Tamandua tetradactyla: one gene and its partner. The protein of the gene in region 1 purifies or fractionates together with the protein of each later gene. This does not show direct contact. Links are inferred from orthologs where the notes say so. Each region holds a gene or a part of one and is shown on either strand. Other genes may lie near its edges.

The links.
Region 2: the proteins of NAP1L4 (region 1) and NCL fractionate together in Homo sapiens (co-fractionation; 3 studies listed by BioGRID). This does not show direct contact. The link is inferred for Tamandua tetradactyla from reciprocal best matches to the Homo sapiens genes NAP1L4 and NCL.

The regions. Positions count from the first base shown.
Region 1 is NC_135335.1:2,764,314-2,775,449, reverse strand, and holds the start of NAP1L4 (nucleosome assembly protein 1-like 4), read left to right. Parts: upstream 1-5,867; 5' UTR 5,868-5,970; exon of another isoform or gene 5,971-5,996; intron 5,997-6,604; exon of another isoform or gene 6,605-6,810; intron 6,811-11,136. Other genes in the region: CARS1 (cysteine--tRNA ligase, cytoplasmic), read left to right, coding at 813-872, 1,184-1,267, 1,970-2,104. UniProt on the Homo sapiens protein: Acts as a histone chaperone in nucleosome assembly.
Region 2 is NC_135329.1:207,464,683-207,476,226, forward strand, and holds the start of NCL (nucleolin), read right to left. Parts: upstream 5,765-11,544; 5' UTR 5,581-5,764; coding exon 5,563-5,580; intron 5,408-5,562; exon of another isoform or gene 5,369-5,407; intron 4,388-5,368; coding exon 4,271-4,387; intron 3,057-4,270; coding exon 2,576-3,056; intron 2,261-2,575; coding exon 2,057-2,260; intron 1,947-2,056; coding exon 1,860-1,946; intron 1,813-1,859; exon of another isoform or gene 1,743-1,812; intron 1,675-1,742; coding exon 1,536-1,674; intron 974-1,535; coding exon 849-973; intron 143-848; coding exon 19-142; intron 1-18. UniProt on the Homo sapiens protein: Nucleolin is the major nucleolar protein of growing eukaryotic cells. It is found associated with intranucleolar chromatin and pre-ribosomal particles. It induces chromatin decondensation by binding to histone H1.

The DNA of each region.
Region 1 (11,136 bases):
TCTAGCTACCCCCCCCCCCACAGCCTCACTGCCCCTTACTCACTCTCCCTTCCCTCCCAGCTCCGCAGCACGTACACCTCCACCCCTTCCAGTTTTCCAGCTAGTCTCCCTCCATCTTTCTGTCTGTGGTGACCCCAAAGCTCCCTCTGGCCCATGCTCCAGACTCTGAGACCCGGCTGCCTACTGGAAATCACTGCTTGGCTCCACAGCATCTGAAACTTAATATGTCTGGAAGGAAACTCTTTGATTCTCAACTCCCCAAACCTGTTTCACCTCCTTGTCCATGAATGGCACATCTGTGCACCCCGTGCTAGGGTCAAATGCGCTCCTGACCTGGCCTGCAAGCACCTAGCCACCTGGCGCCTACTGGCCCCTGCCCTCCCTCCCCTTTCTGTCTCAGGGCCTTTGCTCCTTCCCTGCCACCCCTGGCCTGCTCAGGGGTCGCCCTGCAGCACTGCTGTTCTCCACCCAGCTGGTAAAAGCCCTTGGCCTGGGCCTGGCTCATCACCTGGCCACTTGTCGGGAGTAGCTTGCAGGGGTGACCTCTTAAACCATGTGTTGGGTGGCTCTGTGGGTCCAAGCTGGAGAGGTGCTCGCTGTGCATGCTGGGGGGTGCTTGGGACTGAGTGATAAGCACCGATCCTGCTCAGTGTGCTGCCTGGTCCAGCTCCTTCCCAGTGCTGGGTCCCGGGAGGAGAGCAGGGTGGGGGTAGGGGGCTGGTCTTATGGAGACCCTGTGGGGCAATGTCCCCAGCCCCCTTCCCATGTTGGCCTGCAGGCCTGGTGCATCAGCCATTGTGCTGTTTTCCCAGGTTGAAGAGGAGAAGAGAAGGAAGAAGGAGGAGGCCGCCAGGAGAAAGCAGGAACAAGAGGTAAGGCGTGGGCTCGTCCAGGTGGGGAGTGTTGCCCCGAGGGGCTCTCTGTACACTTGGGCCCCGAGACCCTCATGCCCAGGCTCTGCCCTCTGCAGGCTCCACGTCATGGTGGTTCTCCATCGGCCTCCCCGCTGATGCCATAGGGGAAAACCTGCTCTGGCTTTAGACTGTCCCTCCGCCCTGCGTGTCCCCCTCCCTGTCTGTGGTCTCTGAATTGGAGGGCCTGGAAGCACTTCTGGCGGGAAGGTGCATGTGGTGGGGGGGGCTCCCGCTAGCCATGCGCTGCAGCCACATGTCCTGTGTCCCAGGCAGCAAAGCTGGCGAGGATGAAGGTCCCACCCGGTGAGATGTTCTTGTCCGAGCGTGACAAATATTCCAAGTTTGATGAGAACGTAAGGACTCACTTTTTTCTTTTTGGGGTGATGTCAGGCTGTGTCAAATTGGGATGACAGCAAATATCAACCTTGAGCTAGCAAGGTTTCTGTGTGGGGTGTTTGTAAGGGAAAAGGGATCACATGATGCCTTGTTCAAGGGTCTGCGCCCCAGGAGGTTCCTGTCCCGGGTGGGGGGGCGGGCCAAGGACCTGCCCTGACAGCCGGGCCAGCTTGGGTGGGCACACTTCCCTCCACCCTCATCCAGGCAGAGTTTGCTGTGGCTGCTGAGGTCACAGCCACAGCCGGTTTAGACAGGCTGGAGATGGGGCCTCCTGCAGAGGGGTCGCCAGGGTCCCTGACAAGCTGGACCCAACTGCCACGTCAGCACAGCCCCGCGACTGCCCATAGGGGTCTGCACTCCTGCCTTCCTGTCCCAGCAAAGGCCTAGTAGTGGGGACCTCAGGGCTCCTGTGTCAGGACAGAGCACATGGCTCCGCGGGGTCCCTGCCCCCTCAACACCCTGAGGGAAGGGCACCCCTGACCCTGGCTGCTTCTCCCCCACTTTCAGTGGCCGGGCCTGGAGCCAGCTGAGGACTACGTGCCCGAGCAGGTGGATGTAACCCTCTGCCCCTGGGTCCCGGCCCCCTGAGGTTTGGGCACTAGGAGAGGCACAGGTAGTGGCGTGGGGGCTCACGCCAGGCTCCACTCTTGCCCTCGCAGGGTCTACCCACCCATGACACCGAAGGCAAAGAAATCAGCAAGGGACAGGCCAAGAAGCTCAAGAAGCTCTTTGATGCTCAGGAAAAGCTCCACAAGGAGTATCTGCAAATGGTTCAGAACGGAAGCCTGGAGTGAAAAGAGAAGGCGGCCGGCTGCGGGCGAGCTGTAGGGGTTGCGGGCGTGCCCCGACGCGTCCATCATGTTTACAGTTGTCTGCGTGTCCTAAGTTAAGAATTGTGTTCCTATAGCTTTGTGTCCTCGTCGGCTTTGAGACAGTCATAATAAATTTGTCCAAGCAGCGAGACCTGTGGCCCTCCCTCTGCGTCAACCCTGCATGCTCAGTGCTGGACCCGGGAGGTGCTGCCTGGTCAGCAGGCCCCCCATTGGGGTGCCCAGGCCCGTTGAGCCCTGGGGATTTCACTCCCAGGCCAATGGCTCTCAGTTAATCTCTGGTGCGCACGCATACTGGAAAGTGGCTAAGTGGGTGAAAGACAGGCTCCAGCTCCCAGAACCTGCTGACATCCCAGACAAAGGCTGCCCCTCCGCCTCTCCAGTCTAATGAATAAACAAACTGCAGATTCCCCTAAAGCCGTTCAGCATTTGGCAGAGGCCAAAACCGATGGCTCAGCGGGCCCAGGCCCTGGCAAGCTGCCCAGGGCTGCTGTCAGCACTGGTGAGTCCCTGGCTGCAAGGCCAACGTCAGCGCTGGAGTTAAGCCTGAGCTGCGTGGCCATCCCTGAACCACCGAGGAGGGCATCCACAAAAGCCACTACCTGCTTCATACCTGCAAAACCTTAGCACCAGATGGGAATCCATCAGGACAAGAGTGGCACTGGTGCTAAGGTGAAGCCATGCAAAGTGCTGCATGCCAGTGGGGCAACTTGGCAGGATCTAACTGGGGATTCATTTATCCTTTGTCCTGGCAGTGCCATCTTTAGGAACCTAACCCAAATACACAACGGCACAAGTCGGAAATGATGTGTGCGAATGCCAGCTCACTGCACACAATGCATGCTCAGAAGGCCAGGCGCCAATCGCCAGGTGACTCAGGCCAGTTCCCGCCCTGTGGCCTCTACTCCCAGTCAGCCATGGCGCCCATCCGGGTGCTGGGCGCCTGCTGCTTGGCCCCTCTTCATCCTCTCCCCACTCTGCATTTTCTCAGCTCATCCCAGACAGCATGCCTGAACTCCCACCCACTATGGGGAAGACTTCTGGAAGCACCCCAGGAGGGTCCGGCTCCTCAGGACAGCAAGGGCCACACAATATTCCACCATACGGATGGGCCCCGCTCTGTCCATTCATGTCAGCACACGTGGCTGCTTCCTCCTCGGGGTGATGCTGGGGCCCTGTCTGCACACCTGTCTTCAGTTCTTTGGGGTAGACGGCCAGCCTCATAACTTTCCCCTCATCAACTGAAAACCCATTTGCTCTGCCCTGATGCTTTATGTAAATAAACCCACTCAAGACTGCCATGGAGGACAGGAAATACTGTCTCAGTGCAGGCGGTGAGGAGTAGTGTCCCCCCATTTCAGAATAGACATGACTGGGACATCCTACAGGTCAGCTGCATGGGCTCCTCCTTCCCTTTTATGCTGAGGTCTGTCCAGCTAGCTGCAAAGACACAGCATCTGGACAGAGGCCTTGGGATGGGGTCCTTGGTGTCCCTGAACCCACTGCTCCCACTGCAGACGAGGACACTGAGGCTTGCCTGCCCTACCCAACCCAGCCCCTCAGCCCTTGGGAATCGCCGTCATGCAAATGCCCGCTCTGTGGCTCTTGCTCTTGCTCACCTCCCGTCAGGGCTACCCCCAAAGGGCTGTCTTTAGCGATGTCAGCCCCCCTGGCTATCTGTAGATCCCAGGAAGCTTTGTGCCGCTTGCTGCCTGGCCTCTGCAGCTACCATGGCCTCTGCTCCAAGCATACACCCACCCTGACCCTGGTGGCCTACTGCTCTGGTTCACAGGAACCCGCCCCTATCTCCTTTCCACCTGGAAGCCTTGCTGATGGGGGGGGGGGGGGTGTGCCAGGGGGCTGGATGGGGGGAGGCACACACAGCCCTTTTATTCCTGTGCCCTGCTGCACCGTCACCCATGGAGAGCTTTGGTGGGTGTTGCCCACGGGATGTGGCAACAAAGCGCCACTGATTAGTTGGCTTTAACCAACAGAAGGGTACTCTCCTCGTTCTGAAGGTCTGGAGTACATCAAGGTGCCTGCATGGCTGCACTCCCTCTGAGCTCTGCAGGTTCTGGCTGTGGCTTGCTGGCTACTCCGTGATGTAAGTGAGCCTCCACCTCCATCACGTGGCCGTCTCTGCGATGGTTGTCAGTGTGGGCTGCCCCCGACCCGATTCTGTCTGACCTCACCCTAACAACATCTTCAAAGATCCTATTCACAAACGAGTTCACGTTTACAGGTCCGGAGGTTGGGTCTTGACCACGTCTTCTGGGGGACACACGTCCATCCATAGCACCCACCTTCCCACTAATTGCTGGGGCGACCCTGGGGAAAGGCCACCCAGGGTACTTGGCCTCCGTCCTCTTCCACGGGGACCACGGAAACCCCGGGGGGCTTGAGCTGCCTGGATACCACCCACAGGTTCTACAGGCATCACCCGCTCCCCAGCTTCAGGTAGGGCTTCAAGAGGATCTGAATCTTTATTAAAGAGGAAAGAACCTCAGACCAGAAAATGCTAATTCTTCTCTTTCAGTTTCTTCTGTTGCTTATGCTCTCCTCCCTTTCCCCAAAAGCAAATCAGAAAATCCAAAGAAGGCAAATAGGAATCAAGAGTCCCCTCCCCCACCCCACCCACTCGGGACAGGGTCAGGCCACTGGACATGCTGATCACTGGAGGTTTTCCACCTACTGTGATGTCTTTAACGAACTCCCACCATGAGCCTTAGGATGCTTCCAAAATCCCCTCTTATAAAACGCCAAAAAAGTTGGAAGTTGTTTCAAAGGGAGCCCTACCCCAAGACAACATTTCTGAAAATAATGGACAAAGACAAAAGACCCACAACCCTTACTGGAGACGAGATTAGCCACCCTCAAAAAGTGGGGGCCTGGAGGCAATGATTTTCCAACCACATTGTCATCTCGCCCAAGCTGCCTTTGGCTCAAAGTTTTTCAGATTTCCGCGATGCAGGCAGGCTGGCGCGCTGGCTGGGTCCCGGCGAGTCCCAGATCGCCACTCCGCAACCCAGCTGCGGGCAGGCGGCACCGAAGGAGGGCCGGACCGGGCGGGCGAGGAAGGCCCCCCACGTCGTCCCCCCAGCTCCGCGGCCGCGTCAGGGCGCCCTCGGGGCCGGAGCGCCCCCACCCCGTTCTGCTGTGCCCTAGGTGCTGAGCGCAGAGCGGCTCAAAAAGGAAGCGTCGCCCGATCCGGGGCCTGAAGGAGTAACTGCAGAGAAGCGTCACCCCAAGGACGGGATGCGGAAGGGCTGGGTGGAGGGGACCGCACGTGCGAGGCTCCAAGGCTTGAGGACCCGGGACCGGAGGAGGGGGCTGACGGAGGGGACGGCCCCGGCGCTGGGGGTGGCTGCGGGCGGTCAGCGGGGACCGAGTCTGAGACCGGCGCAAGGCGGGCGGCAGGAGGGCAAGGTGGCGGCGCCGGCCGTGAGCCAGGGGTGGGGGCCCCGAGGGGCGCAGGCCCGGGGACTCGGCCGCGCCGTCCCCCACGTGGGTCCCTCCCGGGCGGCGGAAGGAGCGCCGAACCCGCTCCGCGCCGTCCCATGCCCTCATTTGCATACGGCCGCGCGCGGTGAGTGCGGCTCCTTACGGCGTCTTCCCTGCCGCTCCCTGATTGGTCTCCGGCCGCACCCCTAACGAGCGCCACCTGGCGCCGCGCCCGCCCAATCAGAGGCCCTTTTGCTGGCGGGAGGCGGGGCCAGGGGAGGGCGCGGACGGAGCTCACCCAATGGGAGGCGGCGTTCTTGGAGGCCACGGCGGCGCAGCAGCCCGAGCGAGAGGATCCGCCGTGCCGCCGCTGCCGCAGGAGGCGTGAGGTGCGGAGACGGAGGCCTCGGGCCGGGTAACGGCGCGCCGGGGCAGGCGGGCGGGGCGCTCGGGGTGGCGTCCGCGGGGCCGGGGCGGGCTGCGGGGCTTCCTCTCGAAAGGCCGCGGCGGGCCGCTCGGCGGCGCCCGGGCCAGGGGTGGGGCCCGCGCCCCTTCGGGCAGCGGTCCGAGGCCGGCGGGCGCGGGGCGGGAGACCGGCCCCTCCCCGCGTCCCCACCCGGGCCGCCGAAGGTCAGGAGGCGGCTTTGTTCTCCTGGCGGCCTCCCGGGGCGGCGTGGCCCGGCGGCGCGCCCTCTGCCCGGGCCGGCGCTCGGTTAGCGGTCCCCGCGGAGGGGCACTCGCCGCCGCTGGCGGAGGGCGGCGGCCGGGGCTCCCCGCGCGGGCTCTTTCCCGCCGAGCCGCGTGCGCTCAAATCTCCCGCGAACTCCGGCCGGACTCACGTGCTCTGACCTGCACGCCGGGCCCGCGGAGCGCCGAGCCGAGCCTCCCTCGGGGCTCCGCGTTCCTCGTGTGGAGAAGATGCTGCGAGACCGTCCGCCGCCCGCGCTCGGGGTTTCGCCGCCGAGCGATTGTGATCGCTTGTGTGGGTTCAGGGCGGGCGAACAATGGGGTTTTATTTCGCAGATTCGCTTGGGTGCAGGGCTTGCGTGACAAAGAAATAAAGACCTTTGTGTTGATCTTAGCTGTTGTTGGGAGCTCGATAGCCAGAGCGAGACGCCAGCAAGTATGTGCCCTCCTGCACAGGGGACTTGGTCTGCGGCATCTCACGCTAACTAGTGCACTGAGTAAACTGGGTCGGACCTGAGTTACCCAGTCAAGGTAGGCATCAGGTCTGTTTTACCATTTAAAATGCTGTAGAAAAGGAAAATAATGCTTCCCCCCATGTCATGCTTGGAACGTTACAGGCATTTCTTCCTTTTCAGGGAGATATGCTTTCATCTTCCGAGAGGGCCTTAAATCGCTACTCATTTGTATGTTTTACCTGGCAGTCAGTTAAGCCGCATGTTTTTTAACTGCTCCCTCCTTTTCTGAATACTTTTTGTTTGTCTCGGCAAAGGATTGCCTGGTGGTGATAGGACTTGAATCTTTCACGAATTTCAGCTTGGCGATTATGTTCAGCCCCGATGCAAGGTGGGAGATGCAGCTCGTCTTCAGTATCCAGAATTCTGATGCCAGCATTGAAAAGCTTTGGACCTCAAATACTGTGTCACATTACCCACGGGGGTAAAGGTGCAGGGGGTCTGTTCTCTTCACCTGCTTAAAGGATCTGTGATCCATTTAGGGCACATTGATTGGTTCTGACTTTGGATCAGGTACTTTCTCTGTCTTAATAATCCGTGCTCTGTCTTCCTGCACTTGAAATGATACACTGTATTAAAATAGGCCTTTGAAATCTCTCATATTAAAAATGTAGGTATGCAGAGTAAGCTGTTAGACCTAAAACTTAAGAATTTTTAATTTACTGTCTTCCTTGCAACTAATTTTAACAACTAATGTTAAATTGTCTGCTACATGCCAAGGATTTTTCTAAGGACTTGGCATGCATTACCTGATTTCATGGTAACCTGTGAGAAAGGTGCTGCTGTTTGTCCCATTTAATCAGGAAACTAAGGTCTTGTGAGGTTAAGAGTAATGACTTGTCCAAGGTGACAGAGTTGGTATTAAAACCTGGGCAGGTTTTCTCCAGAACCGGTGTCCGCCTCAACAGGAAAATCCACTGGTTTTGTTTAGTTCTTGTTGTTGAGTTTGTTTAGGTTGACTGCTTTTGTAGAAGAAATTAAAGGAGTTTTAATGGAGAATTATGTTTTCATTATTGCACTAAGCCCAACTGAAGTATAGATTATAAGGATTTGAGGCGATTGATTGTTTCCTGCTCAAAATTCAGGGCTCCTTCAGAAGACTAGCACATACATAGTAGAGTCAGATTATTTCAGATTGGGATTATCAATTGCTAGGAGAATAAATAATATCCAAGAGTAAAATGAACTTCAGGGGGAAGGGAGGTGGTGATAGAATAGGGAAATAGTCCAAAGATGAAATGAGTACCTGAAAATAAGGGAAAGGGAGATGGTTTAAAAACTGGAGTTATCTAGTAATTGAGTTGTTGAGGTGGAGCTGGCAGGAGGAAAAAACCTAGAAAATGTTTTCTCAATTTATTATCTGCTTCCTTGCATCTTAAAGATGAGAAGAAAAAATTTCTTTTGTCTTTTGAAGATGTGTTACCCTATTCTAAGATTTGAAAGGAGCAGTCAAAGATAAGGCCTTCTTGGTCAGCAGAAATACTGTTTCAAAATTTAATTTCCTGTAGAATCATAGTGATAGAAGGGAATCGTGAGGGCACCCTCATTCACATTGTATCTTCACATACATGATTTCATGAGTCATTTTAATATTTTACTGCTGTTTCACTTAAAAAGCTGTTCCCCTAAAACGGAGAAATAGAGTGCTGCAGCCCTGAAAGCATAGCTGTATACAATAATGGTTAAAAGTAACTGAAAAAGAAATCAGGCATCAATTAGAGATAAAATCAAAGCCAATTTGATTGGAATTAAGGTAAATCAAATACAGGGTAAAAGATGATAATGTATGAATTCTAAACTTCTACCTCCTGTATGAGCCCAAAGGCAGACAGGTTTATTATGTCTAGGACCTAAATTTTCTGTAACACAATCTCAACCATCTTGTCTCAGCAGCTCATTTTAACAACCCAGACTCCTGTGTCCAAAACGGAAATGATTCCTTGTGATTCTGTATAGTTTAATGTAATACCTGGGTACATCTCAGATTGTGGTGGGCTGACAATTAAAAAGTATTGGTAGAGGGCAGGCCACGGTGGCTCAGCAGGCAGAGTTCTCGCCTGCCATGCCAAAGACCCGGGTTCAAGTCCCTGTGCCTGCCCATGCAAAAAGTAAAAAAGTATTGGTAGAGTCTCTTAAGGGTTTGTGTGTGTGTGTGTGTGTATATATATATATATATATATATGGAACTATTAAACTGTCTGAGGAACCCCAGGTACCCCTCAATCATTAGAAACTCCCACCAAAATAGGACAAACCCTTGATTTTGAGGCTTGCCTTATGAAATTTATTTCTTTAGCAGAGAAACTAAGACTACTTTTTATTTATTTTATTTTTTTAATTTTTTATTAATTTAAAAAAGATTACAGGTAACACAAACATTCCCAACACATACACTCAGCAATTCACAATATCATCACATAGTTGCATATTCATCATCATGATCATTTCCCAGAATATTTGTATCAATTCAGAAAAAGAAATAAAAAGACAACAGAAAAATTAAACAAAAACAGAAAAAAAAATTTTATATGCCATACCCCTTAACTCCCTTGCATTGATCACTAGCATTTCAAACTAAATTTATTTTAACATTTGTTCCCCCTATTATTTATTGTTATTCCATATGTTCTACTCGTCTGTTGACAAGGTAGATGAAAGGAGCATCAGACACAGGGTTTTCCACAATCACGCAGCTAAGACTACTTTTAATAAGGCCTGAGAGTTGCTTCCAGAAAACCTCTTCTGTGGCTCAGATGTGACCTTTCTCTCTCTAAGCCCAACTCTGCACGGAAAATCATCACCTTCCCTAGTACTTGGAATATAACATTCCGGGGTGAAAGTCTCCCTGACAATGTGGGGCGTGACTCCTGGGGATGAGTTTGGCTCCAGTACCTTGGCATCAATAACATTTCCAGACCTAAAGAGGGAAAAGAAGTGTAATAAGGCATCAGTGGCTCAGAGAGATCAAATAGAGTCCAGAGACTATTCTGGAGGCTACTCTTATGCAGGCTTCAGTTAGATAGTGCCTGTTACTTTGGTGTACTGAACCCTAACCGACATCACTCCTTTTGACCTAGGGCTTGAACTGAGACTCTATAAAAGTTTCATGTACTGTGTTTTTCTGAAACCTACGATTTCCAGAAGGATCAAAAGAGAAGGAGTTATAACACAGAAAATAGAATTTAACAAATGTGTATGACTGCTGAATCACTGTATTGATATTTCTTCTAGTCTCCAGTGTTTTGGAGCAGCTAAAAGAAGGAATCTGAAATAGTGGAATGGTAATCCATAACAAACTCTGAAATCTGTTCTGTAACTACTTTTTGAAAATTCTTGCGTTTTTTTCTTTGTGTGTGTATATATATATATATATATATATATATTTCACAATAAAAAATGAACAGTTATTACACACATATATCCAATCCTTTTTTTTCTGGTTGATCAGTGTTAACTGAGTCAAAATGTCTGCACTTAACCTGTGCCGGCATATTATAACATCTAAATACTTCCACTGTGAATTTTGTTATATGAGCTTTGAATCTTGTACTTGTTTCAAAACCAGTATAGAACTGTTTGGAGAAATTGATTGAATTCCTTGTAATGGCTGATTGTTGCTTTCAAGTTTGGTAGCCTTGTTTAACTGAATTCTGAAAAGAAGACCTATATTTGAGGAAACCGACCTGTCCTCTAAACCTGCACAGGGCATTGAGTTTTATGACTTGGCCCCTTAGGTTATTGGGCTCATGGTATTTTGAGTTTAGAGATTTTTAGCTGTTTGATCTAGTTCATGTGTTGGAGGGATTAACTATTTCAAGGTGGAATGTGTTTATCACTACGTTACAGTCAGTAAGTTTTGTACTTGGATCTATTAGATATGTCCCTTACCTCTCCTGGGTTTCAGCACCCCCTGTTAAGAGCACATGGGTTTTCTGCAGTTGTCTGGCTGTTGGGATTGGAATCCAGTTTTTCTTCTTATGCGTAGATGTTCATTTCTAGCCTCAGGCAGAGATAATGCCCTTTAAATGTATAAATGACGTAATGGAGCTCAGAGTTATTTGTTTTTCGAGGTGTCTTCCTTCCTTACCTATAGTTGTCTGCAATTCCTGTATTAGTTTAAAAACTTTTATTTTTAGGCGTGTGTTGTAGTTCCAAGTATTGTGCCAGAGAACCTAAAAATTTGTTTTGTTTTGGGAGAAAACTGTCAAGAGGGTGATTTGACTCCCGAAGTACTAGGTAGTTACTTCCACATAGGGTGTGGGGCTGCTGGCTCAGGCACCCCAGGGCAACCTGTACTCAAGGAAGTCAGCTGCCAGGAGCTTTGGGGAATTTCATCTGGGGTTGCCATGAAGAGTG
Region 2 (11,544 bases), on another chromosome or scaffold:
TTTTTTTTTTAAACACACCCTTTACTCTTCCCATCCTTGCTGACTAATCTGATCTCCACAGCATCTTCAAACACTTCTTTTAATTCATCCTGAGTGACTTTATAAGGCAGATTTTTAGCCAAAAGTGTTCTGGCATCTCGATCTAGATAAAAAGAAAAATGAGCTGTATCAGTCTAGTTTAAAAAACAAAAAGAAATCCCCAAGGTTATACAAAGGAAACAACAGTTTCATTCAACAAATATGAGATCCTGTATGTGCAAGGCACTATGCTGAACACAGAGCACCATGACAACTGCCCTCCAACTACACTGGAGAGAGTTCAACCCAGAATAAGAGCCCAATCATTTCGCACAAAAAGGCCATGGACACACAATTTAAAATGACATGTTTTCTAGAGAAAAAGGATATAAAGTTAACTGGACCTAACCTAAATCCAATCCTATAAAAAAAAAAAGTCTCTGTTATAGGCCAGAAAATAACAGAAAAGAACATTCAAGATCATGATAATGACTATAAGCCCAGGTGGCTCTGGACTGTGAACCAAGCATATGCTACAAAGTTACTTAATTTAACAATATATTCACAGAACATCTAAGCATTTCTCTCTGAACATACCCACAAAATGTGTTTTAACACAAGCAAATAGTGCAGTGCCAAGTACTAACATATTCTAACTCACTTCATCCTTATGACACTACAGGGAAACCAAGAGAAAGGGGTTCAATCACTTGCAATCTAGCTCCTAAACCCTGCTCTTAATCGCCACACCTCATACTACTCCCTAACTGTACATCTACCTATGGAGCATGTTACCCATCAGTTTCGATATCACCTAAACCCTTACATACCTTTCTTACTGTCTTTTCCCTTTGGTTTCTCTAATTTAATTTCACTACCAAACACTTTTGAACCTGTGAGCTCCAATGCTTTTTCCAGGTCTTCAGCAGATTCAAAATCCACATAGCCAAACTTCCTTTAAAGCAAAGGAGGGGGGGAAGGTTACAGGTGAAAAAAGTTTGCACAATACACAATTTTGACAAACCAACACCACTGATGTAATAGCACAAACATATTAAGTTAAAAAGCACCTACAGAATTAACACAATAAAATCCAAGGCTTTGGACTGTGTACATTGTGGCTACAGAGCAAGGTCTAAGTACCAAGAGTTGATGCAAGCTCACCTATGCTGCTCGTAACAATCTTCAAATTGTGACAAAGGTACTGCTTGAGCTAAAATGAGAAAATCCTATAGCTACTTGGGTCTACTGGTTTTCAATCATTTCCAGGAATATAGGCATCAAATTACTTAAGAAATTTTGCACTACACCAAGTTAAGCTACATCACAAGAAATTTCAATTCTGAAATTCTGTACATGGGACACAAATAATTTATACCATGATAAAGTCTGAACTATCTGTAGCTAGTAGGTAGAGGGAAAAAAAGCCATTAGTAGGCCCAAATGTAATATACAAGGAAATACTGTTGTCTAAACCTCCCCCCAACCCACCCCCAAATCATGTCAACATTACTTACCTAGACACACCAATTCTGACGTCCACAACAGCAAGATCATTTTTAGCAAAAAGGTCACTGATCCCTGTTTTCAATTCAGGGGCAGATTTGTTGAAGTTCAGGTTTCCAACAAAAAGATTGAAAGCTGTAGTTTCTAATGCTATACAAAAACAGAGCTTAAATTAGTCAACAGTGCAAAGTTAATTTCCACTACAGTTCCTACACACAGCACATCAGCATATTACAACGTGACATCAGGTCTCAGTATTAAGTCCCTTTGTCATTCATCATTTGTGTAACCAGACTTTCTTCCCCATAACCCTCCTCCCCAAATTCTCAAATTACCTTCTACTTTCTGTTTCTTGGCTTCAGGAGCAGTCTTCTGCTTGGACATTTCCTTCTTTCGTTTTCCAGATGCTTCTTTGATAGGCTCTGAACAAGATTTCAAACAACCTATGTCATCAACGAGTACCCACACATTCTCAAGTATCTTTCTTTAAACAAAATTCAGGTCAGAGTACTTCAAAAACTAATTTGATTACCTTCCTCTTCTTCCTCCTCCTCCTCCTCTTCGTCGTCATCCTCATCATCGTCCTCATCATCATCTTCCTCATCGTCATCATCTTCTTCCTCCTCCTCTTCATCCTCTTCATCTTCAGCCATACTCTTGGTCTTCACAGGAACAGCTTTTACAGGAGCTTTCTTCCCTTTGGCTGGGGTAGTATCCATAGCTTCTTCTTCAGAGTCTAAAAGAGAGTCAAGCATACTCAGAAACAGGAGAAACCAACAATAGAAAAATCTAAAAGAAATGCCACCATGCTTCAGCAGCAAGTATTTCAAGGTCTCTTGCAAACGAAATCCTACACAATAGAGAATCCTCCCAGAGCGTGCTTTAGGCACATCAGCATGGGGCAAACTTTCCATGGGTAAATTAAATGTCGGTGCCAGCCCAGAGATGACCTCTGAGTTGCTAGAAGGAGTATGTAGAACTGTTTCTATAACCTCACCTCTAAGGTACCTTGCAAACCAGAAGCCTAGAAACTACCAAGAGAACTCCTTACCATCGTCTTCATCATCATCATCATCATCATCATCATCGTCTTCATCATCTTCATCCTCATCATCATCCTCATCCTCTGAGGCAGAAGCAGTGGCTGCTGCTTTCATCACTGCTGGCTCAAATTCATCTTCATCATCATCCTCATCCTCTTCCTCGCTGTCTTCATCATCTTCCTCATCACTGTCATCCTTCTTGGCATTCTTACCATTCTTTGCCCCCTTGGCTGGGGCCACAGCTCCCTTCTTACCAGTGGATGCCACTACCACTGCTTTGCCAGGTGTGGTCCCCTTCTTGCCAGATGTTGCTACTGCTTTGGCTGGTGTAGCTGTCTTCTTGGCTGGTATGGCGGCTGCTTTTTTGCCAGGAGTGACAGCTGCTTTCTTGGCAGGTGTGGCAACTGCAACCTTTTTTGTTGGGGAAACCACCACTTTCTTTGCCGGAGGTGCAATGGCCTTCTTGCCTTTTTTCTGAGGAATGACAACCTGGAAAATAAAAAGGCAGCCGTGGTCCCACAAATGAGTACCAATTACTGGCTCATCTGATTCAAGACTACACGCAGGGTGGTGCAATCGTGGCTTAGTGGCAGAATTCTTGCCTGCCATGCCAGAGACCCAGGTTCGATTCCCAGAGTCTGCCCGTGCCAAAAATAAAGACTACACACATTAAGGCCATTCTAAAGTCTAGGGTCACACATATTACATGCCCCTCAATGTACTGTAAAGTTACAGCACTCGTTTTTGCATTAAGGTAAAATACCCAACTATAAGCACCTCCTCAACACTTAAAAGGCAAGAAACCAGACTTCAGTTCCTGGGTCACATTTTTTAAAATGACTTGTAGCTTTGAGCAGATTTTCCAAGTATTCTCAGCCTCAACTTTCCCTATCCGAAAATAGTACCAACTTTTCATTTTGTTTTAAGCATTTAGTGAGTTGATATATGTAAACTACTTAAACGTTTTGCACATAAAAAAAATTTTAGTGTTACCTTTTACTACATTATTTGGGGCTCCTGTAATGGGTAGAGCACTCTTTAAAAAGTCAATTACTCATGACCAAAGATTAAAAAGTGAACCCTGGCAAAACGGTAACAAATTATGGAGCACACATTAATAAAGTCATTTATCAACACTTAGTAGATTAAGTTTGTTCACAGTGAACTAAAGCTACTTTTTGTAGACTACTAGTCTTACCTATTGACAGTGGAAGAGTAAAGCCTTTATAAATTCTAAAAAGGGAATCTGAGCAAAAGGCACATTAATCAGTTGTCCTTAGTAATGAAACAGTAGACAGGGGAGGTGGCAGGCCTCAATCCAAACTAGAGATAACTGCCCTATATAATTAGTGTTATAAAACTTATACACAACAGAATATAGACAAAATTAATCCTACTTGGAGACCAGAGGGGAAAACAGTAAGACTGAAACACGGGGTCCTTAAAACCTGTATACTCAGCTGTCACTTGAATTGCCCAGTTTCCTCTTCTAGCATGTAGGGCTAATATAATGAAACCAAAAAAATGTAAAAATGGAATCCTTTAACACAACAGCAGCATAGGCCGATAGAAAGGTGTTATGTAAGCCTCCAGGTCTTCTTTTGGTTCTCAAACTCATAACTACCCAAATGTTATCTTCAAATGTCAATGAAGAGCTTCTGAGACACACAGCCATTACAGTTCATTAAGTTGTATTTAATTACCTCTTCTCCACTGCTATCCTCTTCTTCATCTTCTGACATTTCCTCATCATCACTATCTTCTTCTACCTCCTTTGGGGGAGGAGCCATTTTCTTGGGGTCACCTTGATTTTTACCGGCCTGAAATGGACACAATTAGCACATTACATCTCCTTTGCCATTTCATGCCCCTCTTATTCTTCATAATAAAATGCAGTTATCTCCTTTCTTCTTCTTTAGACTCTACTTTTCAGTTAAATGCCACAATTAACCTAAAAACTACCACAGACGTACAACAGGATCCTAAATCTCCCACCCATTTTTTTCTGTCAGATTTACAAGTAGATAACCCCCAGTGACTAAAAAAGCAACTTCAGTAAAGCATCTTTTTTACTACTGCCTTCTTCAACTACATCGCCGTTTTAAAAACATTACTTCTAGCTTGAATTATGACACTGCCTATACAGCACTTTTAAACACACAGTGACTTGCAACTGGACCATTTTACAACTAACAATTCATCGCTCTTCACCCTAGTGAAAATATCCAAAAAGCCTTTAGTAAATCTTGGCACTTTCTTCCGCCATCCTCACCTGGGTTCAAATTATGAACGAGAATTTTTAAAGTAACCTTTTCTCATCGCCCTCTAATGTAACTATATTTTGACTGCTCATCAAATTTCCCTTTCCAAGGGGAAAAACACAACCCTACCCATTCCAGACCTGGAGCAGCCATGTGGGGTACCTCACAAGCCACCATGTGCGCGCAGAAAGCACTGACTGAGGGTCTCCTTCCGTAGCCCACCACGTGTCCGCCCGTCTTGAAAAGGGGGCAGTGGGGCCTAAGGCCACCGGCTAAACTCAATCCCGCCTGTGTCGGTCCCAGGACCAAGTGCCTTCGGGAGACCCCAGGACCAAGTGCCTTCGGGAGACTCCAGGATCCACGCGCTGAGGCCCACGTGGCGGGCCGCGCGCGTAACCCGGGCACGTGCGTCAGGAGGCGGGGCCCACCTCGCGCGCGTCGCAGGAGTTCGGCCTCATCCCTCCGCCCCGCGGCCCCGCGGCCCCGCGCCCCGCGCTCATTCCCGCAGTCCTACACCGCCGCCTTCGCCACCGCGCGCACCTGCCGATACTCTTCACTTCGCCGCCATGTAGTCCCAAACCACGAGACCTCCCGCTAATCGCGCGAGACTTCCCTCAGCATGGCGGAACTCGAACGCGCCCGGGACGGCGCACAGGCCTTCCTCGCGGCGCCGCGCGCGCGCTCCTTGGGAAACAGGCCTCGACGTCTGTCCTTGCACAGGCAAGGCCTCTTACCTTCGCGAGCTTCACCATGATGGCGAATTATAACGGCGGAGTGTGAGGCGAAAGAGTGGCGCAGGTGAGCCCTGAGAAACCCAAGCGACGTCGATGGCGGCCGCAGCTACTGAAGATGCCGGAGCGCGGCCCTTGGCTGCAAGCTAGAGCTCGAGACTAAGGCGAAAGACTGAGCCTGCCCAGTAATCGCCTCTGGAAAGGCGACGACGGCGTCCTCGTGACTGTGCCTTGACCAACCAGAGCTCGCGTCCTCCCCACGGACCAATCGCGAGCCAGTACCCGAGCGCGGCGCGGGGCGGGGCGCGGGCGGGAGTGGGCAGGGCGCGGGCGGCCGGGGGAGGGGGAGGGGCTCGGCGGCGGCGTCCTGGGGACGGGACTCGCTTTGTGCTTGGCCAGCGCTGATTGGGCCGTGGAGCGCGGGTCCCGCAGACCCTGCGTTGCCAGAACTCGCGGCGCCTGCGCCGTCTGACGGGCATTTTTGGCGCCTGGTGTGCCCCGGACCAGTGGCGCTGGAGACGAGTGGTCCCGGGCTCGCGAATGCGGCCTGGTCCTCATGGCGCGGGCCCGGCTTGCGCTGCCCGCTGAGAGAGGAGTGTGACCATATTTCTACTGATGAGCCCGAGCCCACCGGAAGTTGAGGGTCCACCTGGTTCGCACTGTCCCACCCCATCCCGCGCCGTACGAGGGACTAGGGGCCAGAAACGTGCCCCTGGCCACAGGTGATTCCCCTCCGGGCCACGTGCCCGCGGCTGCCTCCTCAAACATGTTAATGGAGACAATGCGTTATGTTTGGAGGAACTCAGGTTCAGGCGCTGCCGAGCACGGCACAGAAATCGCATTTAATTTCACGGTAACCCGGTGCGTAGGTATCTTCCCCAAGCTCAGAGAGAGAGCTTTCTGGCCCTCTCAGTTTTATAGCTGTGGGGTCGGGAGAGGAGGCTCTTGGGCAGGCAGACCGCGGGGCCGGGCCTTTGACGGCCTAGCAAGGTCCCTCTTTGTTAACTGGGGGTTAAAGCACCCATTAAAATGTGAAGGCTGCGAGGCCTGACGCAAGGTGGCCCAGGAGCAGGTCAGAAGAGCCGAAGGAGATGTACCCTCCATGGAGGAGGCGCAGAAGATTGTCTTTACATTGTGATTTTGCCACCTATTCGGGTGGGTTGCCTTGCGGGTGGAACTTAATTTATAATTGCTGCCTAATAGAACAAACCACGGCACTTCTTCAGTTTAGAGCTCGCCTAGAATATATCTGGGCATATGGTACCAAAGTGTTCATACAAAGCCAGGATACCTGTGCCATTTTCCAAACTGAAGTGATGGTGAAAACGTCCCCTGGAGATTTTACTTAAAGACGTCTGGGTTGGGGCCCAAAATTTTGTATTCTGACAAGGGCCCATCGGGATTCTTGGGAGCAGTCAAGTTATTTTTGCCATTCTTGCTGGCACACTCTTGAGATAAAGTGTATAGGAAGCCCACAGCTCTCCCTGGATTCCCTGCACAGGACGGGGCAGGGCAGGGAGCTAGGGCCAGTTTTTGTCTGTCGTCTCTCCCCCTCCGTGAAACATAGGCTTTATTCTCTGCTGTATTCCTAGCACAGTAGTGTTGGAAATTATTTGTTAAATAAATGCATGCGGTTTTTAAGTAAAATAAGCAGCAGACGGAGCCGTTATAGCTTAGTGTTAAAGTGTGTTACTTTGGCATCTGGGATGGAGAAAATAGTCATACCTAATAGTTTTATCATACTAAGTGTTAGCCACTGTTCTCCTGCTGTATATATCAACTCGTTTAATATTCAAAACAACCTTACTAAAAAGTTATCTCTGTTTTACAGAAGCGAAGCTGGCACAGAGAGGTAAAATAACTTGTCCAGAGTCACACAGTAAGTGAAGGAGCTAGGGATTCAATCGAGCCCCTACCCTGTCACCTCTAGGTAATAATAGTATCTGCCTCCTGGGTTGTTATGAGGATTGAGATAATACATGTGTGTTTTTGAGGGCCCTCAATAAATATGAACCGTTATTATTATTTTCAAACTTGGTGACTTGACTAAAGAGAAAGATAACATTTCTATTTTCTGTTGTTTGTGTATGGTAAATGGGACAATACAGGCATGGCTGTGGGTTTGGGGAAAGCTGATGAATTCAGGGTTGGGCCTGTTGAGTTTGAGGTGTGCGAGGAATATTCAGGTGGGGAGGGGCCATGGGCGATTGGTTCTGCAAGGCCAAGTGTAAGAAAAAGGCAGCCATGACTTGCAGACTGAGGAGTCATCCCTGGGGTGGTAGCCATCATGGGGTTAGACACAGAATGGCCGAGGATCTTGTCCAGAATAGCAGCCTGAGTGGGAAGAGGCAAAGCTGGGCAGACCCAGGCCCAATGGGGGTGGGAGAGGAAGGCCCAAAGGCAGGAGCCAAGCTAGAGAAGAGGGGCATCTTGGAAGCCAAGGAGAAGAGTATCCAGGAAAAGAAAGAAGGAATAATGTCCAGTGTGACAAGAAGGTTAAATAAGGTAAGTCCTAAAGAGTGCCTTCTGGATGTGGAGTTCAGAGTCATGGTAATTTGGACAGGGATGGATGGGAAGTGGAGACCCTGGGTGTAGGTGTTTCGTGGCTCCTGGGACAGGGCATTTGCTCTGTCCGGCTCTCTAACAGCCTAGGAGGAAGGAGCCAGTCAAGAGACAGAGGGTCAGAGGAGAAAACAGAGGGCATGAGATTCAGCAAGGGCAGATTCTAGAACTACACAGGGTACCTCCTGGTCCAGATCAATCTGAGAATAAAGGTAACAGCAGACACGGGCGGAAGTGTACCCTGGAATGTAGTTTTCTGGGGGGCTGGACTTACTGTTGAGAAGGTTACCTGGTGCAGAGCAAGTGCTTAGTAAATAATTCCTGAGTGGATAGAGTTTGGCGATGAGAATCAAAGCCATTCTCGTTTGCTGGTCTCTTCTGGAAGAAAAAGATGCTGCCTTTTAAGAGGAAAGGGAGGGAAGGTTGGATGGGAACCTCCTGAGCAGAGAGGTCCAGGAAAGAGGAACAGAACGAGTTCTTAACCTCCAAAGGATTGAATTAAAGGAAACATAAACACCAGATAAAGTAAATTGCCTATAGCAGGCTAGGGAAGAACAGATTACTGCTCTGAGCCAGATACTACCTTGGGTGGGTCTCCCTGGAGAGATCCAAATGCCTTGGATGATGGAAAGTGGAATATCTGAAGCTGCCATGGCATGTTATGATGGGTGGGCAAGCGTGAAATACTGCCTCTTTGCTGCATGTTCTTGGGCTTGGATTTTTTCATCCTTTAAATGATAGCAATAACTTTTGTGTCCTTTCCCAAGTCTGCCTAAAAAGTAAGTAAGGATAAGGCAAAGAAGAATTAGATCCACATCCCCAAGGGCTTTAAATATGAAATCCTGAAGGGGAAACCACAGGTGGCTACCCACATTCCCAGGAATTTAAGTAAGACTGCTTCCTGCTTATTTGCGTGCCCACCAGAGTCCAAGTGTTCTCCTCCATCCGCAATCTGTAACTAACCAGGCCACAGAACAGGTGTGGGATGGGGTGGGGGGTGAGGGGAGAGCAGCGGTTTGTAGTACAGATGCTTCTTTTTCAGTTTCAAAAAATGAATTATTTGTTTTTTTGAATTATAAACCAGGCACGTGGCACAAAATTCAAGAGATCCAAAAAAAAAACAGTAAAACTGCCTTGCTCCCCTCCATCTCTTGCTGCCTGGTTCCAGAGGCAGTGACCACTGGAATTTCTTGTTTGTCCTTCCAGATTCAGGCAATGCATGTGCAAGCAGCTAGGTATAGTTATTATATTTAATACAAATGTTGTCATACTGTATGTGCCATTCTTTCTGAACTTTCTTTTTTAAAAAAAAAATAGATTGTCTTGTAACTCATTCCACATCAGGGCAAATAGAGCTGTGTCATTCTTTTTGATAGCTACAGACTGCCCCTTATGTAAAAGGATCATAATTTATTTAACCAGATCCCACTGCTGAACAGTTAGTGTAATTTCCTATGTTTTGCTATTACAGGCTGCTGTAGTAAATTCCCTTCTTATGTGCTTTATTTTGCACATTTACAAATAGCTCTGCAGAATACTTAAAAGTAGAACAACTGGGTCAAATGGCATTTTCCAGTGTGATAGACGCCTTTTCAAGTGCTGCCTTCTCAGGCCAGCTTTAGGGAGACTAAGACTAGGGAGATCTAGGACTTGGCTCCTGAGCCCAGGAGGCACTGGGTTGCCTCAACCCTGCGTGCAGGGAAAGATCGGCTGACAGGCCAAGCAAGGGAGGAAGAGCTTAGGATTCCCTTTTGGGATCTGGCTGAAAGTTCTGGGCGGCATGTGAAGGTCTCAGGGAACCCAAGAAGAGAGAAGCTGGGCTGGTAAAGGGAACTTCCCTCTGCCCATCTTCTAACTCCTGAGCAGACACCCCAGGCCTCTGGGCTCAGGCAGGCTTGGGGCCCTGAGGAGAGGCTGAGCAGTGGTGGGATATGAGCTGGGGGCCACTGCATGGAAGGTTATTGGTAGGTGGTCCCCGTGATGGACCTGCCTGCCTTCCATCCGTTGCCTTCCCTTCCCGTGTTCTGCTGCCTTGCAGGGGTCTTGCCCTGTGTTAGCTGGGTATTGGCTGGGTTTGCCCAGTGGGAGAACCAGAACTCAGGAGGAGAAAGGGAGATGACAGGTTAAACCCCCGCTTAGTTTCCCAGGGCTGCTTGACAAAAGTACCACCATCTGGGTGATTCAAAACAGCAGAAATATGTTGTCTCACAGTTCTGAAGGCCACAAGTCTGACATCAGGTTGAGCAGGGCTGTGCTCACTCCAAAGGCTCTGGGGCAGAATCCGTTCCAGGCATTTCTCTGGCTGCCATGGGCTCCAGGAGGTCCTTCCCTGTGGCACACCACTCCAGTCTCTGCCTCCATCTCACCACAGCCTTCTTTCTTGCATGCATCTTCGCATGGCATCTCTTCTCTGTCTTCTCTGTCTCTTCTCCTTCCTGGAAGGACTCCAACTATGTTGGATTAAGGGCCCAGCCTCATCTAGTATGACTTTATTTTAACTTGCCTAATTCCATCTGTAAGGACCCTATTTCCAGAAGAGCCCACCTTCTCAGGTCCTGGGGAGTAAGACTTCAACATCTGTTTTTGGGGGACACAGCACCCTCCCCCAGCCCCTCAGCATTGGCAACTGCCTTAGTTGCAGACCCCAGCCCGAGGTGGTGGCAGCTTCCTGCGGTTGCCTCATGACCATGCATGGCTTCTCAGCTCTTCTGCCACCTGGGTAACCAATTCCCTGCATTCAACTCCCTCTGTTGTAAATATTTTTCCATTTGGGTATTCAGTTCCTAGACTGAACTGGAATTGGAGTTAGCCCTTTTGAAGACCTGTGACACCCTCCAGGTCTTCTGGATGCTTCTGTGGCCCACTGAATGACTGGATCAGGATCCTGCTTGCCCTGAGTGGGTACCTCGGGGTACAGCCACCCTGGGTGGGGGGCAGTGGGTGGGCAGGCCACAGCCCTGTGGGCCTGAAGAGGTGGCTGTGGCTGCTCAAGGCAGTCCGGGGCTTCTGGACTGGTCCTGTAGGCAGCCCAACTTCCCGCTGTTGGAGCAGTGCCCCTAGGGTATGCAGTGGTGGCACACCCACCCAGTCCCACGTCTGGGGAACTGCTGCACTGTCTCGCCTTCCCAGAGCTCTGGGGCCACCACAATCAGGACAGATAGGATCAACTGGTACTGCTTCAGGAACCCCACTTCTGCTCAGTCTCTCATCAGGGCCCCAAGCCTGCCTGAGCCCAGAGGCCTGGGGTCTCTGCTCAGCAGCTGGGCAGAGGGAAGTTACATTACCAGCCTAGCCTACTTCTCTCTTCTTGGGTTCCCTGAGACCTTCACGTGCCTCCCAGAACTTTTAGCCAGATCCCAAAAGGGAATCCTAAGGGCTTCCTCCCTTGCTCAGCTATTGGTCAGTCTTCCGCTGCACAACCTG